2 linked regions of the Pelodiscus sinensis genome follow. Each later gene encodes a partner of the first gene's protein in a complex. Links are inferred from orthologs where the notes say so. Each region holds a gene or a part of one and is shown on either strand. Other genes may lie near its edges.

Region 1 (7,827 bases):
CAGATGAGCAACATGAAAACTACTCGCTCTACAAGTCTATTGTATCAGATTAGCTACCCCAGTTAGTAGCTGCAAATTTAAGTTAGTCCCTAGACATATAACTGCTAAACCAATTAACTGCAAAAATAAATTTAAAAAAAAATCATGTCCAGAAGGTCAAGATCATCATTTCTGTATGCATTTACCAAGCACGAAAAAGGCAGCAAAATGTGTCAGTTACCAAAACTAGTTACATTTTAACTGATATGTAGGGTTCCAGCTTTATAGTACTGATGTAGTTCATTAGATTCAAACTCACAGAACGTGGAAAGCTCACAACAAATGGATTTATGTGCACACTTAAAACTAGAATATGATGGGTACTAAAAGTTTGAACAACTCAATAGCTTTACTTTACGCCACAGACACGCCAGCTCTTGTGAGTACCCATTTTAATCTACTTTTAAAGTGCATTCAGCATCTTAATTAAGAGGTGACCATGTTATCTGAAGGCTCAGGTGCGCATGAAGTCCAATGACCAGCTGTGGCAATGCTTTTATCAACCTGGTTTTTGAAGGCTTACCTTTAGATCTACACTAAATCTGCCCTAGATTCAAATCCAAGACAAGAAAGTCATTGTGCAAACAATACTACTGATTGTTGCATTGATCTCTCCCAGGGATTAGAAACCTTCCCAAAACTAACCCAGACCAACTGTAAACTAAGGAGACTTTTCTGGTATTTAGCTTTTATCTTTGAAAGCCCTGGGTGGGAATGCTTAATTGGAACCCAAGCTGTAAAAATCAAGAGGGGCAAATGCCACATGGGATGAAGAAGGTGAGGAGGAGAGAGAAAGGGAGGAGATGCTCAGAATAAATGCCTGGGGACATTCGAGGGGGGGGGGGGGGGGAGGGAGCCTGTTTTGATGCCCAGCTTGTAAAACAAGACAGAGAAACTCACAAGAGAAATGAAACAGAAGTTTCCAAACTATTTGGAAAGATTTCCCCCTCCCCGCTTCTATCCTTCCTCCCCCTTTTGGGTCCAGTGCTGATGGTACACACCCGCACCCTGCTCGCCCCCACACTAGTTCATACACCCACTACTCCACAACAACGGAGCCCACGCTTAGGCTCCCTAGGAAGCGACGCCAGCTCTCACACACTCCCCCCGTGCCCACCTATCCTCCGACCCCTCCTGGGGAAGCGGACCCCGCCGGGAGAGCTCCCCAAGAGCCGCGGGCGCAGCCTGCAGGGGGCAGCGCAGAGCCAGCCCCCCGGCCGTACCTTCGTGGTGGAAGCTGCGGACCGTGTTGGCGCGGCTGGCGGCTCTCTCCAGCGGGGAGCCCAGGGCGGCCTGGCCCGCGTGCAGGCGGTAGAGGTCCAGCATGTAGGGCGGGATGACGGCGCTCTTGCTGGGGCTCGGCCGCCGCTTCAGCCCGAACATGTTGAGCAGGCGCAGCTCGAACTCGCTCAGCAGGTCCTCCGAGGGCGGCGGGGCGGCGCGGCCCGAGTCGCTGAAGCGCCGCCGGCCCACCTCCGGGATGAGGCCGGCCGAGCCGCCCAGCAGCACCTGGTAGAGCAGCAGCGCCAGCAAGGAGCGGGTGGCGGCCACCATGGTCAACCTGCGCAGACAGGGAGGGTGGGAAATCAGGGCAAGCCCGTCCCGGGGGCCCGATCCCGAGCGGGGGGGGGGCCCGATCCGGCTCCCCCCCCCCCCCCCGAGGGAGGCTAGGGGGCGTGGAACCTCATCTGGCAGCGAGCCGCTGTACCCCGTGCTCTGTTGCACCTGGAGCCGCTTCCCCCCGTAGTGACTCCGGATTGCACGCCTGATCCAAAGCCCCCTTGCACAGAAGAGCCTAGCCCGCAGCGGACCATAGCGTGGCCAGAGATACGGCCGCTTGTCAGCGGCCAGGAGCCGGGCTGGCCAGCTCCATGGCCAGGTAGGAGCCGAGTGCCATGCCCAGCTGTCCAGGTGTTGGCTGGCTTCAGGGGGTGTCTGGCAGAGGTGCTGGGGCAGTTTTTGCTGGGGGCGGTTGAACCCACCTGGACAGCCCGTCTAGAATGGCAGCCACTCCAAGCCAGGGTGCCGCAGTACCCCTCTGCACCCCTACTTCCAGCACCTAGGGTGGTTGGGGGGGTGCAAGACAAAGGAGGTGGGGGCTCCCAGGACGGCCAGCACCGCACCTCTAGAAAGAGGTTCCCCGCGCTCCCCGGGCGGATCCCGTGGCGCGTTCACACGCAGAACAGGTTCCATGCGCGCGGCGTTCGAAGCGGAGTGGAGGAAGCCGCCCGTGTGAACGGCGCGTGGGGAGGGGAGGCGCGGGACAGGTGCGCCCGGCCGCCCTGCGCTCTTACCTTTAGGAGCCCGCCGAGCGCCTAAGCAGCGCGCTGGGGGCCGGCCATGGACGCGGGCTCCACATAGAAGTGGGCAGAGCCAGGGGGTGCCCAGCCGGGCGGGGGCTTGTATCCGGTGCGTGCGGGGCTCGGGAAGTTACTTCTCCGGGCGAGGCTCAGTAGCGAGAGGGCAAGTCCCTCGGCTGCGCGGATCCCGGGCTGCGCTCTAGCCCCGCCGCCGCAGCCCATGGCTTCTCCGGGGACTCATGCCGCGCGGACCCGGCCGGCCGCGACCCGCCGGGGCTCGGTGCCTTGCAGGGGGGGCTCGCTGGGCGGCGCCTGGCTGCGGCATCCCTCCCGGGCTGTCACTCCGCCGCGGCTCCCCGGACGGCGGCGGCCGCCCGCCGCGGAGACATCCCTGGGGGGAGAGGCCTCGCCACGCCGCGCGGGGGCGCGCGCTCTATGCCGCTCCGTGGAAAAAACACGCCCCGAGCATCCGCAGCCAGGCTAGTCCCGCAGCGCCCGGGCTCTTCCTTCCCTGCGGCCCCGGCAGCAGCAGGCGCTTTGCAACGGGGGAGGAGGGGGGGGGGCTGCCTTCTCCGGCCGCTGCGTCCTCCCGCGGGGTGCCCGGCCCGCGCGCTTCTGGTGCCACTTGCTCGAGGTCCTTGGAAGCCTCCTTGGCTTTTTGTGGCGCTGCTGATGTCACGGCCCCGGGGGCTGGAGGCGCCTGGCCAATCAGCGAGCGCGCCGCCGGGAGAGCGGCCGCGAGCCGCGCTCGCTGCTTTTAAAGGCGACGCCGCCGCCGCGGAGGAGTGTGTGCGCGGCTCCTGCTTCCCCCCTCGCCTCGCTTGATGGCCGAACCTCTGGGAGGAAGCAGGGACAGCAGCGCCACTCGCATCTCCCTCCACGTGCCTTCCCTCCGAGGCAGAAGGTTGACTGTGTCCCAGGCAACTCCCATCACCTGCGACGATCCAGGAGCCGGGTAGTGAATTTGGCCAGGGGGGGTGTCCCCAGTTCCCACACTGGAAAAGAATGATCCATGGTTTCCCCCTCCACCTGCTTCTCCTCCCATCGACATGTCCCCCTGTCGCGGTCTCCTATCGCCTCTCCTGGGGCCGTGCCAGGCTGGACGGGAGCTAGTCAGGCCCATGGGCGACATGCAATGTGCAGCGTGGTTTTTGCAAATCAGGAGCCAACGAGGGGAAGCTCCAGGAGCAGTTGGAGCAGGCTGGCAGCCGGTAGCTGTTAGTGTTAGCTTCACGTGTAATAAGAAAATCTAGTCCCGAGGATTGTTGTGGTTCTTCCGAGGCGTAAGAGCTAGAGCCCTGTTGGGACTTTTGTCGTCTCGCCGTCCTTAGACAATACGAGACCTGGGATCAAACCAGGCATGGGCTAAAACTGTGGACTTAGGAACTTTTTAGCTGGAGTCTGCGCCTACACGTGGAAACGCAGAGGAAAGTCAGAGATGGATACTGAACAATGACCCCTCAGTAAAAGAAGAGTGAAATAAGTCTCGTGCGCTGCTTATACAAATCGGATTAGTTTCGTGCTGTGGGATTTCAGTGTTTGCTGACTTCTAAGGTGTGAAGGTCAAAGCAGGTTTTGGAAGAATTGGAGTGTTTTCAAATAATCTAGGCCAGTAGAAAAAAAAGTTTTAAAAATCCCCACACACCTGATTTTCAGCAGAGGCACACAAAGCATTTGCAATTAATGACATCAACATTACACCCAGGTCCTGGGTGTAAATAGTTTTAGGCCCATTGCAGCTGATATGGATCAAAGACTTATACAAAGCAACAGAATGGTTAATCTAAACCTGCAGTGTCTAAGTGTACTCTGTCTAACGTTAGGACGGTCAACGCAATATAATAGCCCTGGGCAAATCTAGAGCAAACCTCAACTATTGTTTGAATTTTGCACAGATCACAAAAAACTCATTTCTCTCTTTTAAAAACAAACAAACAAACAAAAACCTGTTTCGATTCCAGTGGGTGTGTTTAGTTCTTGGAGAGGAAAACTAAATGCTGTTATCACGCCACCAAGAAAAACTAGGTTGAGTACCCATCTGCACCCCAGAAATGAAGGAGCTTAATATCTCTTGCTTGTGGTATCTCTCAGCCACACAACCTTTCATATTCAAAAGATCTCAGAGGCATGACTTTACAATCAAGAATATATGGGTTCTTTTAAGCTCATATATGGTTCTATCAAGTTCATTGTGGCTCTTTTTTGCAGGGGGAGCATCCCCAGAAATCTGTTCTTTCTCCCAAAAGCACCTTGACTATTTTATTCCTTCAAAGGACACTGTGTGAAAGGCCACTTTTATGACACTGCGTCTTTAGGCATGAGCAGAGATTTGGGACGCAGGGTGACATAACCCCCTCTTTGTTAAACTCCAGCATCCAGTTTGATAAGCAGTGGCAGAAGGGATGTGAAGCTCCCTGCTATAACATTTGCCACTCACACCTTCCATGTCACAGCCCAAAAGTAGCATGGGGAGCTGGAAATCATCATGGGCTGCCCCAATTGAAAGAAACGTGTCAGATTCCTGAGAAAATGCCTTTTATCCTTGGGGAAGCATCATTTTAAATGCATTTGACTTTCTAGGTTCAGCCCCCTCCTCCTTGGGAGTTCAGCGCTGCTTTGCTGAGTCCCTGGATGTTTTTAAGATATGGCTGCCCTCCAGTGGTGGAAATGTGTCAGAGCTCTCTGGATGTGCAAATCCCCATTTGAAACCCCTTTTTGGGGCTGGCTTTACCATTGAATTCTCTTCTGTGTCCCACTCAGCAGAAGCAGGGCACCAGTCTGTAGGCTTAGCAGCTTACCTGCCCATCTTCGCGACCGGCACCAGTCCATGCTATCGCAGGTGTTGGAGTGTGACAGTGTCAAAGCCTTCGATGTGGCAGTTGGCAGCCTCAGCTCCTCCAGGTTGCCGAAGCTTTTCTTCGGAGATGAGTTTAGAGCATGAGAGGGATGAAGGAGCAGGCTCTGATGCCAAGGTGGATGGATTCAGGAAGGGTGATGTGTCTCGGATGAACAGAAAGAAGATGGTTAACTCACTGGCTTCAGTTTCCGTATCTGCCCCAAACTCCTCGTGTGACAGTGGGCTAGAATTTAGGCTCCTATCTTCTGGGCCTTAATCCCTCTGCATCACGGGTCCCTGTGGAATAGGGATATTAAAACTTTCTTTCCCTCATTCTTTGTCCTTCTTGCAGTCCCTTTTTTTATATATATACAGTGCCTTGCACCATAGGGCCCTGGTCAGAGTTGATGCCTGTAGACACTAATGCAATAGAAACGATGACACAAAGAATCAATTGTCCAGATCCTAGCACAGATTCTCACTTGAACGGCCTGGAATCCCTGGTCACTTTCCTTCCTCAGAGCACCACACTGGGGTGCAAGGCCTTTTCAAAGGGCTGATGGTACTGACAGAGTAAAGCAACATGTGGAGAATTTAAAGCAACAGGAGACAGTTCCCTGGTCATTTCCACCATTTTGATTGGCTCTTTTTGCAGTTTAGTAGAAAAGTTGCATCTCTATAATCTAAGGTGATCATTTCAATGACGTCGCACTGGTGCAATTCCCCACGGAGACACCCTTACCCTGGCAAAAGAATGACCTATTTTGTTTTAGTTTTGTTGCTTTGGAAAGGCTTTAAGCCAAATCTGAGATGTGGGTGTGGGGAGGAGCTGTGGTGCTGGACCTATTTTTAAGGTGGGGGTGCTAAGCTGCACCCCCCACACACACACACCTGTTCACACCTCTCACTTTTCCAGCCTGAGGTCACACCGAGGATTGCCAACTCTCACGGACAGCCTGGGTGCTATTACCACAAATGGTGTCCAGTGTATCCGGTCCAGGAGAGTTGGCAACCTAGCCACAGCTAAAGGTGGCTGCGGAGCCCTGGGTTGGGAGTGGGATGCTGAGCAGCAGCAGATTTTCTGGGGCCAGTGGCCTGGACCACAGAAATGGCAAGCTGCAGAACCCACGGGGATGCCAGGTGGGAGGGACCCTGGGGGTGGCAGAACCGGCAGTGGGTGGGAAGCAGGGCCGGCCCCTGGGCATGGAGAAGCCAGGTGCAAAACCCTGCACCTATGGAGAAGAGTGATAGCCCAAGCTGAAATTCAAGCCTTAGAAAGGGTGATAGCTTAGGAACTCCCAGATCAGGTTCAATTTTATGACTTCCTGGAGCTCGTTAGCCTGAATTTAAGGTGCAAGCAGTGTGACGTCAGGGCACTCCAGTTGTGTAAATCAGCACTAAACTAACAATGGCAATAGAGTTTACACATCACTGACATTAAATGAGCACTTTGGTGGCTAATTGCCCTTCCAGTTCATTCTGCAGTGGACCACACCAGGGAAAAGCCATTTCTTGCCTTAATATTTCATCTCTATGCCTGGAGCATGGGTTGTACTGGATGCTACCTATGGTGACTATAGTAGGATGAGGAACCGTCTGAGGGAGAAATGCGTCTACATTTCTTCCAAAGGCCTGGATAAATTCTGATCTGATTTAACATCAAGAGGTTTGCTGCCATTCTGATTGTAAATATAAATAGGCCCACGGATCCTTCTGATGTTAAGGCCATAAAAGCCTTGGATATTTTGGAGTAAATGAAGAGAGGTTTCCCCTTCCATCCTTTGCCTCTTTTATGTTCAGAATGGAAAGCCCAGATCCTGAAGAATAGTGATAGAAATGTAGCCGTGTTAGTCTGGTGTAGCTGAAACAAAATACAGGACTATGTAGCACTTTAAAGACTAACAAGATGGTTAGACATTTACCTCCTCCCCTCCCCTGCCCCATTCCTCTTCTGTTCTGAAATGTGATTTGTCCTTTTCATATGTGTTCATTTTTTTTAATTGTATCCTTTGGTATATATGGTTGTGACAATTTGCTTCCACTATTTGATCTGAGGAAGTGGGTCTGGCCCACGAAAGCTCATCACCTTATAAACCATCTTGTTAGTCTTTAAAGTGCTACATCGTCCTGTATTTTGTTTCAGATCCTGAAGGGACTTTGGAGCAGGGACTCTCTCTTGCTAGTTGTTTGTTCTGTGGAAGGGGAAGTTCCTTATTACCCCCCCCCAATTGCTCCCACATGAAATCTAGCCCTGACTACTTAGTCCCCCTTATGCCATCACATGACTTCTACATCGGAGTGGGAATCGGAAATCAATGGGACTTTCACACTTGCCTAAAATTAGGCCCGTGCTTACGAGTTTCCTTGAGCAGGGATGGATCACTGCATGGGAGCCCCAGGAACCAGGAAAGGAAAAGATGAGGGGCCCAGCGGAAGTTGCAATCAATACAACGGCAGGCCCAGCCAAAGAGTTCACGGGACCCAAGGCAGCAGGCTGTGTTTGGCTGAGCTGCACGGCTGCGCAGCTCCTAGTCAGGGCAGCCAGTGAGCGTCTTGGTGGGCAGGGCCGGGAGCTGGTCAGCACAGGGCCCTGAATGCGCGGGGACTCTGAATGTGCAGGGCCCAAGGCAACTGCCTCGCTCACCTTGCCCA
Region 2 (7,595 bases), on another chromosome or scaffold:
CAAAACTCTCTACAAATCAATTAAGCTTTTTCAAAACCTCATGAGGAGAGTAAAGATATTTTGGTAGGGACAGCTACATGATATGATCATGTAGAACAACTTGTACCAGTATAATGGGCTGTCAGTTCCTAATGCAGTAGTGATCAAGCTAGACAGGGAGGAGGAATGTGTGAAAAAATCCTTCATTCCCACCCACAAAAGAAAGCAAATGAGCCTGGATACTCTCAATAGAATAAAGCTTATCATGTCAACATGTTTGACAGGTTGTTTGCAGTGTAGTTATAGCTGTGTTGGTCTCCCTGTTTTAGAGAGACAAGGTGGGCGAGATATATCTTTTATTGGACTAACTTCTGTTGGTGAAAGAGATGAGCTTTGAAGTTTACAAGTCCTGTGTAAATTCAGCAGTTTGTCTCTTTCACCGAGTTGGTCCAATCAAATGTTACCTTACCCCTTTATTTGACAGGGGACATTCAACTCCCTTCCCCCCAATTTGTTTGCACAATATTGTGGGGCTAGGCTTGAATCTCACATATTGCATAATATAATCTTTCCTTGTTCTGAAGTGTTTAAAAAGTTGGCTGGAATTCTTCTGTATATTTAGTTCTCTGCAGGGAGCTGGGCCTTTATGCCCATCTTCTACTCTGAGTAAATCCCAGACAACATTCCTATTGCATCTACTTCACAACTGAGCAAACCTTTAATAAACAATTGAGCGAATAGCTGGTCATGTCTAGAAGAACGTTTCACGACTGTTGGTGAAACGTGTGGGCTGAGTAGCAAATCTGGTTAACTTCTGACTGCCAGAAAATAAATAGACCCAATTTTCAATCCCTTTTGATTTTCTGTCACAACGGAGAGAATCAATTTAGTATAACTGGGCAATATTCTAAAATCTACTTTTGTCTCTAGATATTGCAAATATATTTTTCTAACCCTCCTCTCCACATCCAAACAGGATGTCTAAGTTTATCTCCTAGATGTGTCATTAAAAGGTAACAGGACTTTCTGTGGAACAGCTGGATGGAAATAAGTATTTGGAAGGCTAGATCACCAATATACTGTGGCTGGCAAACACAGGAGTTTAAGAGTGTCCCAGAGCAAGGAGGAGCCTGCAGGAGATCCTCTTTAAAGTGTCCTCTGATTTCTCATGGAAACAGCGTACCCTCCCCACTTGGTTCTTTTAGTGTGGATTCCTGAAGATGATGCCTAGAAATATGACCCACCCCACCATGCCATCTCTACTTTCTTAGGAAAGGGCCAAGGACAGTCTAGTAAATGTCACTAGGTATTTTTTTAAATGGCCTGGATACCTTCAGGGAAGATAAATCATTACAAAAAACGAGTCTAGTAAAAATCCCAATTAACCTATCCTTCTGAATTTCCCATACCCGTTATACTCCCCATCCTAACAGAGAATGAAATTGGATTGAGACTGTATTTTTCTAGCAGGGATCAGCACATGTGCGCTCTCCCAGGGTTAAATAGAGCCCGAAGCTCGTTTCTTTCCAGTAGGTGGCGCTGTTATCCCTAAACAGTTTGCCAAAATAGCCAATTTATAAAATAAATGCAATCCAGCGCTGCCTTAAGCCACATGACATAGCATCAGCCTGCACGCTCCCATTAAAATCTCAATTTGGGGAAATTGATTCTACCTCTGAGCAATTGCAACACAATTACTCCAACAGGCAGCAATCAAGAATCACATCAAAACAACACCACACTGCCTCAGAACCACCACCACAACAAAAAGCACCTGTCTTGCAAACGCACCATGATTTCCTTGAAGACCTATGACAACATGCGAATCCCAGAATGAAAACAACACTTAAAGAGGCTGTTTTGCAACCTCATTGGCGGTTCTAAAATGTCCTAACTCAAGGCCATATTCTGCCATCCTGACATTGATCAATGCCTTTTTGCCCACTGAAATCAAGTGGGCCTTTTTATCCAGTAAGGCATTACTTACCAGGAGGAAAGGGAGCAGAATCTAGCCCTCTGAGATGACTACAATGGTTGCTTTAGCCCACATAGCTATCCATCTCTCTCTCGGTACTTACTTGGTTCTCATCCCCACAGTATCTGCCTAGCCTGGGCATCTGTCAAACACTGGCCAGCTCTTGAAACATGCTGTATTTTTAAAGCATTATAGTCGGGGATAGGAACACGGCTATGCATATTGATCCTTCTCTGGTTTGCAGTAACGATGACCTGGTTGCAAGCTAAGCACCGGGAAGGAGGGGGGGGGCATTCCAAAATGTTTCAGGGTTTCTTTAATCAATGTTTTGCAATTAAATTCACTTTTTCGTTTAGCTCGGAAGAAGTTGGCACAAGGACGCTTCATGTCTGATGGCAACCCGGAGAAAAAAAAATGGGAGGGAGGGGGGAGGAGGGAGACTCGTATCTAGCTATCTACATCCATAGAGCATGCAAGGAAGAAGAAGCAAAGAGCCCAGAGCCAGCCTTTTAAAAACGGGTTGAGAAACTAGACGGAGGACCCCAAGGGAAGGCCACTGATTCTCAACAGGTCCCAAGGCAGGCAGAGCACCTGGCTAGGAAGCAAATCAAAAAGCAATTAGGGAAGGGGGGGGGGGAGCATGCCGGAAACAGAGTCCAGGGTGCAACCCCAAGAGCTGCAAGCAGGTTAGGAAGCAAGCAACGGTTCAACGCAGGGTGACCCTGGGTTGCAGGGAACAGACCCCGGGGGTTGATGCCTTGTTCCCCCCCCCCACCCCTTTTCCCCCAACCTCCCCGGGCTCCGGGGCTTACCTTATCGACTGCATGAGCCTCTCCAGCCCGCGGGGGGGGGTGTCAGTGGGAGGGAGGGGCAGACGGACGCTCCCAGGCCCGGGAGGGGGGAGAGGGTGGGATTATCCGCAAAAGGGCAACCCCCCCTCCCTTCCCAAAGCGCCCCCGGTAGGGTGAAGAGCTCGCCCCTCTCTTCAGCAGCGGGACAGGGCGGGCAGCATCTCCCCCTGCAGCGGCATGTCTGCGCGAGGCTGGCGGAGCCGGGGCAGGGTGAGAAAGGGAAGTGGCTTCCCAAGCAGCTCACTCAGCCGGGGAGATAAAGCGAAGCAGATAGACAGGCAGGCACGGCCCCCCCCCTCCCTTCCCGTCGCGGCGAGGGCTCCATGTGCTGGTGTGAGGAGGTTAGTTAGCATGCGGAAGGGGGGGAGTGTGTGGAAAGCAGGCGGCTCGGTGCGCGGCGAGGAGGAGGAGGGGGGGAGAGGAGAGGCTGGGCGCCCCAGCAGAAGCGGGGCTGTATCTGGGGGCAGCAGAAGAGCCAGCAGCCCCCATGGGCAGGGAGCGAGGGTGCAGGCGAGCGGAACGGGGACAGTGAGCGCACAAGACCCTGCCCTCCCAGGGTTCATTCCTGGCGGGTTTAGACTTGGCCGCTTTCCAGTCCTGCCCTGCAAGAGTTAGGACTGTCCACCTGCAGCTGAACCGTCTGACAGGGGGGGGGAAAGAGATTTGGAAATGGCTATTTCCAGGGCGTGGGGGAATTCGAATCAGATAACATACACACAGGCTATGTCTAGACTGCAGGCTTCTTTCGAAAGAGCCTCTTTCAAAAGATCGCGTCTAGACTGCCGGCGGATCTTTCGAAAGAGAAATCCGCTTTTTCGAAAGAGAGCACCCAGCGAGTCTGGATGCTCTCTTTCGAAGACGGCCTCTTTACATTGAAGAACGCCTTCTTTCGAAAGAGGGACTTTCGAAAGAAGGCGTTCTTCCTCGTAAATTGAGGTTTACCGCCATCGAAAGAAAAGCCGCGTTCTTTCGAAATAATTTCGAAAGAACGCGGCTTGAGTCTGGACGCAGGGGAAGTTTTTTCGGGAAAAGGCTACTTTTCCCGAAAAAACCCCTGAGTCTGGACACGGCCACAGTGTGTGCGCGCACATGCACACCACCTAGTTGCAATCCGTCTACATGGACTTCTCTTAACACACACAGAGCGGGAGGGAGCACAGAAAGGACTGTCTAGCGCTGCTAATGTATGCATGCATTGTAGATAAGGTATTGGGTAAAGCAAATCAACCCCAACATGCTGGGGCAAGTGGATTTTCTCTTTTCACCTTTCCCTAGCTGGGAAAAGAGAAGAGAGCAGTACAAAATGAAGGAGTGCAGCCAGGAGAGAAAGGGGAAACGGCTTCCCAGTGCATTGTGCTGGAGGATAGAATCATAAAAATGACATAGCAAGGCAGATCTGTTATGTCCCAGGAGTGGGGAATAAATAAGAGGAGAGAATCCATTGAAAGGTGTAAGGAAAATTGGGATTAAATAGTTTGTGAGCTGCTGCTGTCAGTTTTATCAGGCAGGAGAGGGATGCCTGTGTCCTAACTCAAACTGCACATATTGTACATGTCACACAACTCATTAGGCAACCAAAGCTGTCCCCTATGGAGTTAGAATTTTGCCATTGATTTCAATGGGAACAGTGTGATGAAGAAATTACACACAACAGGAACACCCAGATGTTTAGGAACCTGTTCTAGTCCTGACCTGGATCCCTCATTTGATGTTGGAACATGTAGAAATCAAAGTTATGATACTATGGAGAGGCTGGCCCACCAAATTCAGAACCAAAGAGGGACTTTGGGCATGCTTGGAATAAGCCTACACGGAACTATTTCCCTAGATATCATTACCGCCTTTACTTTTTTTTTTAAATAGAAAGTAAATGAATGCAAAGCTCTGTGGGCCAGACAGGCAATTAATTACTGCAGTCCCAGAGCTGTGAACATGCTAAATATGCAGTTGCCTTTGCAAATGTGCAGATAGTAACAGATGTTTGCAAAAAAAAACCCCAAAAAACCACAACAACAAAAAACCCCTCCCCCCCCAAAAAGCCAAAACAAAAGCTTAAAAATCTTTTAAAACAGATCTTTGCACAGTATTTTTCAGTGTGGAAGGCAACAAATGCTAATGGCAGCTATCAACTGCTTGATTAAGTCTTCAAAAAAAAAAAAAAAAAAGTGCCCGGATTTAACAATGTGAGCCAGCATGTATTAAATGCAAATTAGAAAACAAGCATGTATTAACAGTAACAAATTCACCAAAGAAGTGGGTTGTGTCCAGGAAAGCTCATGATACCATCTATATATTTTATTAGTCTCTAAGGTGCCACTCATTTTTCAAAGTTACAGACTAACACAGCTACCCCTCTAGACTTAGTAACAAATAAAAACATCCTGGCAGTAAAGCTGCAGTAGAGCAAAGATGTCTTCTTTTTTAAAGCATGAATCTCTCAAGCAGACACTGTTGAACCAGAACGAGTTTAATCTTGGGTCAGGTGTGAAAGAACTAGGGACAGTTTGATGCCTAGTATAAAACTTGTAGCATCCCTCTAATAATAACTAATCATTTTATCGTGTCCCGATGCCCCTCCAACAGGGACTCTTGCTGTGCTAGGCACTGTAGAGACACACAGCGAAACACAGAGCCTGCCCTGAAGACATTACAGTCTTGTTTAAGACAAGACACAACAAGTGAGTGTAACAAGTAGAAAAGGTGTGGAGTGGAAATGAGAACATGCATTTCCATAAGCCAGCTGTGCACATGGCAGGGTGGGTTCCAGTCAGATCATTTAAAACCATTACAAAGGTACATGTAAATACATAACTAAGGCAACCATCAGAAGTCCTGATTGACCCCTATCTACAATTAACTTTAGGCATCACCAGAGGAGTTGACACCTTCTGCTTCAAGTGGGAAGTGCATTTCTTTGACCTTGTCTTCTCTAACATAAATAGAGAGGAAGATATATATGTAAATTAAAAACATCTCAACATAGCAAAACAAGTCATTTCCCTGCACATTCATCTCTTCTTGGGGAGAGGATGAGAAAACAAACCACATGTGACAATGGCCTCTCTTAATTTTTTCCATCCATGTGTGGAATAACTTTTACTATGTGCACCAAGGTATGTGTGGATGTGCACCAGCAGTAGAAATGCATGCTGGCTGTGGATACCGTGGGTGCTCTCCTAATCTTTGGGTGGCACCTGAATCGCTCTTGGGTGTCTGCCCACGCACTCAGCTTACAGGGAACACCAGTGACAGATATGTAGTCACACTGCTGAATGCGCTACTGCAGATGTGGCCAGTCCGAGCCTGAGAAGGTGCCACCATTTACCAATGTACATCGCCAAAGAGCTACAGTCATTTGTCAGCAGTCTCCATCAGGTGCCTTCTCTCCCGTCTTCAGTATCTTTTGCTCACCAACAGCCCCACCAATCAGTGCTTCCTCTTCCTTCCCCGCGCCTCCTGCCTACTGCAATCAGCTGTTTCATGGCTCTCAGGAGGCTCTGTGGGGAAGGGAAGGAGCGAGGGTGCAATATGCTTGGAGGAGGAGGTGGAGCCAGGAGTTGAGCACTGGAAAGTTGGCACCAGCTGCTGCAGCCCCAGAGTCAGTGCCTGAGCAAGGAGCCGCATATGAACTTCAGAAAAGCCACAGGTTGGCCACCCCTGCGCTACTGGAAGAGGCTCAGATTGATAAGTGCAGTATAAGGACTGACATAGCATAGGCTAGAATCACAGTCCAAGTCTTCTGTAAGGTCCTTTGCTTAGTGGACTTGGGTCTTCCTGTCTCTGAATCATGCTTCCTCCCCACTACTCCCAAACACATCTGCAGGGATCAACACAGGTCTGTTGTAGCTGGTAGTTTGTGGTGTGAGAATCTCTGGGTATGTCTACACAGCAGGGCAAAAGTTGAATTAAGCTACGCAACTTCAGTTACGTCAATTGTGTAACTGAAGTTAAAATAGCTTACTTCGGCTTTAGGTGCTGTCTACACTGCAGGAAGTTGAAGGAAAACCACTCTTACTTCAACTTCCCTTACGCCTCGTGAAATGCAGGTTGCAGGAGTCGGAGTAAGAAGTCCTCCAGCTTGAAGTTATTTTGAAATAATGGTTTGCTGTGTAGATGCACACTTTGTTATTTCCAAACAATGTCAGTTATTCTGAAATAACACTGCCGTGTAGACGTACCCTCAGAGAGCAGATGTTTTCATTAGGAAGGGCCTCTGCTGAAGAATTCAGGATCCATACCTTGGTCTTTTCTATAGTGCCTATCATTGAAATACCTAAGTGCGGACGAGCTTGAGTCTTGCTATTTCGAGGGCACCGTCCAAGATTCATGTCTTTGCACTGATGACAGTGACTGTCAAACAGTTCAGCAGCCACTTTCTCTTGGAAACCCGTCACCGGGTAGGACCCTGTGGAGGAAGTGACATAAGTTAATGGAAGGATGGAGCGTCTGATCCATTGCATTATATACAGGCAGTCCCCGGGTTACATGGATCCGACTTACATCGGATCCCTACTTACAAACGGGGTGAGGCAAACCCGCACTAGCTGCTTACCCCCAGCAGACCAGGGAGACGCGAAGCTAGCGCCCCCCCTCCAGCAGACCAGGGAGACATGGAGTGGCTTTTCTCAGCAGACACCTCAGCTTGAGAATAAAGGACTGAGGGAAGTGAGGTGTGGGAGAATAAAACTGAGCTCTGGAGAAATGTTTGGCTAGAGTTTCCCCTACAATATGTACCAGTTCCGACTTACATACAAATTCAACTTAAGAACAAACCTACAGTCCCTATCTTG

What was found. The genes of interacting proteins can lie anywhere in the genome.
Region 2: the proteins of BMP2 (region 1) and RGMA are in contact, whole or in part, in a crystal structure (PDB 4UHY), measured with the Homo sapiens proteins. The link is inferred for Pelodiscus sinensis from reciprocal best matches to the Homo sapiens genes BMP2 and RGMA. Residues at the interface, in NP_001191.1 of Homo sapiens: Val308, Gly309, Trp310, Asp312, Trp313, Met371, Tyr373, Leu374, Asp375, Glu376, Lys383, Tyr385, Met388; in NP_064596.2 of Homo sapiens: Arg91, Arg94, Gly95, Leu97, His100, Ser101, His104.

The regions. Positions count from the first base shown.
Region 1 is NC_134713.1:192,410,195-192,418,021, forward strand, and holds the start of BMP2 (bone morphogenetic protein 2), read right to left. Parts: upstream 3,002-7,827; 5' UTR 2,334-3,001; intron 1,601-2,333; 5' UTR 1,594-1,600; coding exon 1,263-1,593; intron 1-1,262. UniProt on the Homo sapiens protein: Growth factor of the TGF-beta superfamily that plays essential roles in many developmental processes, including cardiogenesis, neurogenesis, and osteogenesis. Induces cartilage and bone formation.
Region 2 is NC_134724.1:12,368,249-12,375,843, reverse strand, and holds the start of RGMA (repulsive guidance molecule A), read right to left. Parts: upstream 3,020-7,595; 5' UTR 2,781-3,019; coding exon 2,767-2,780; intron 1-2,766.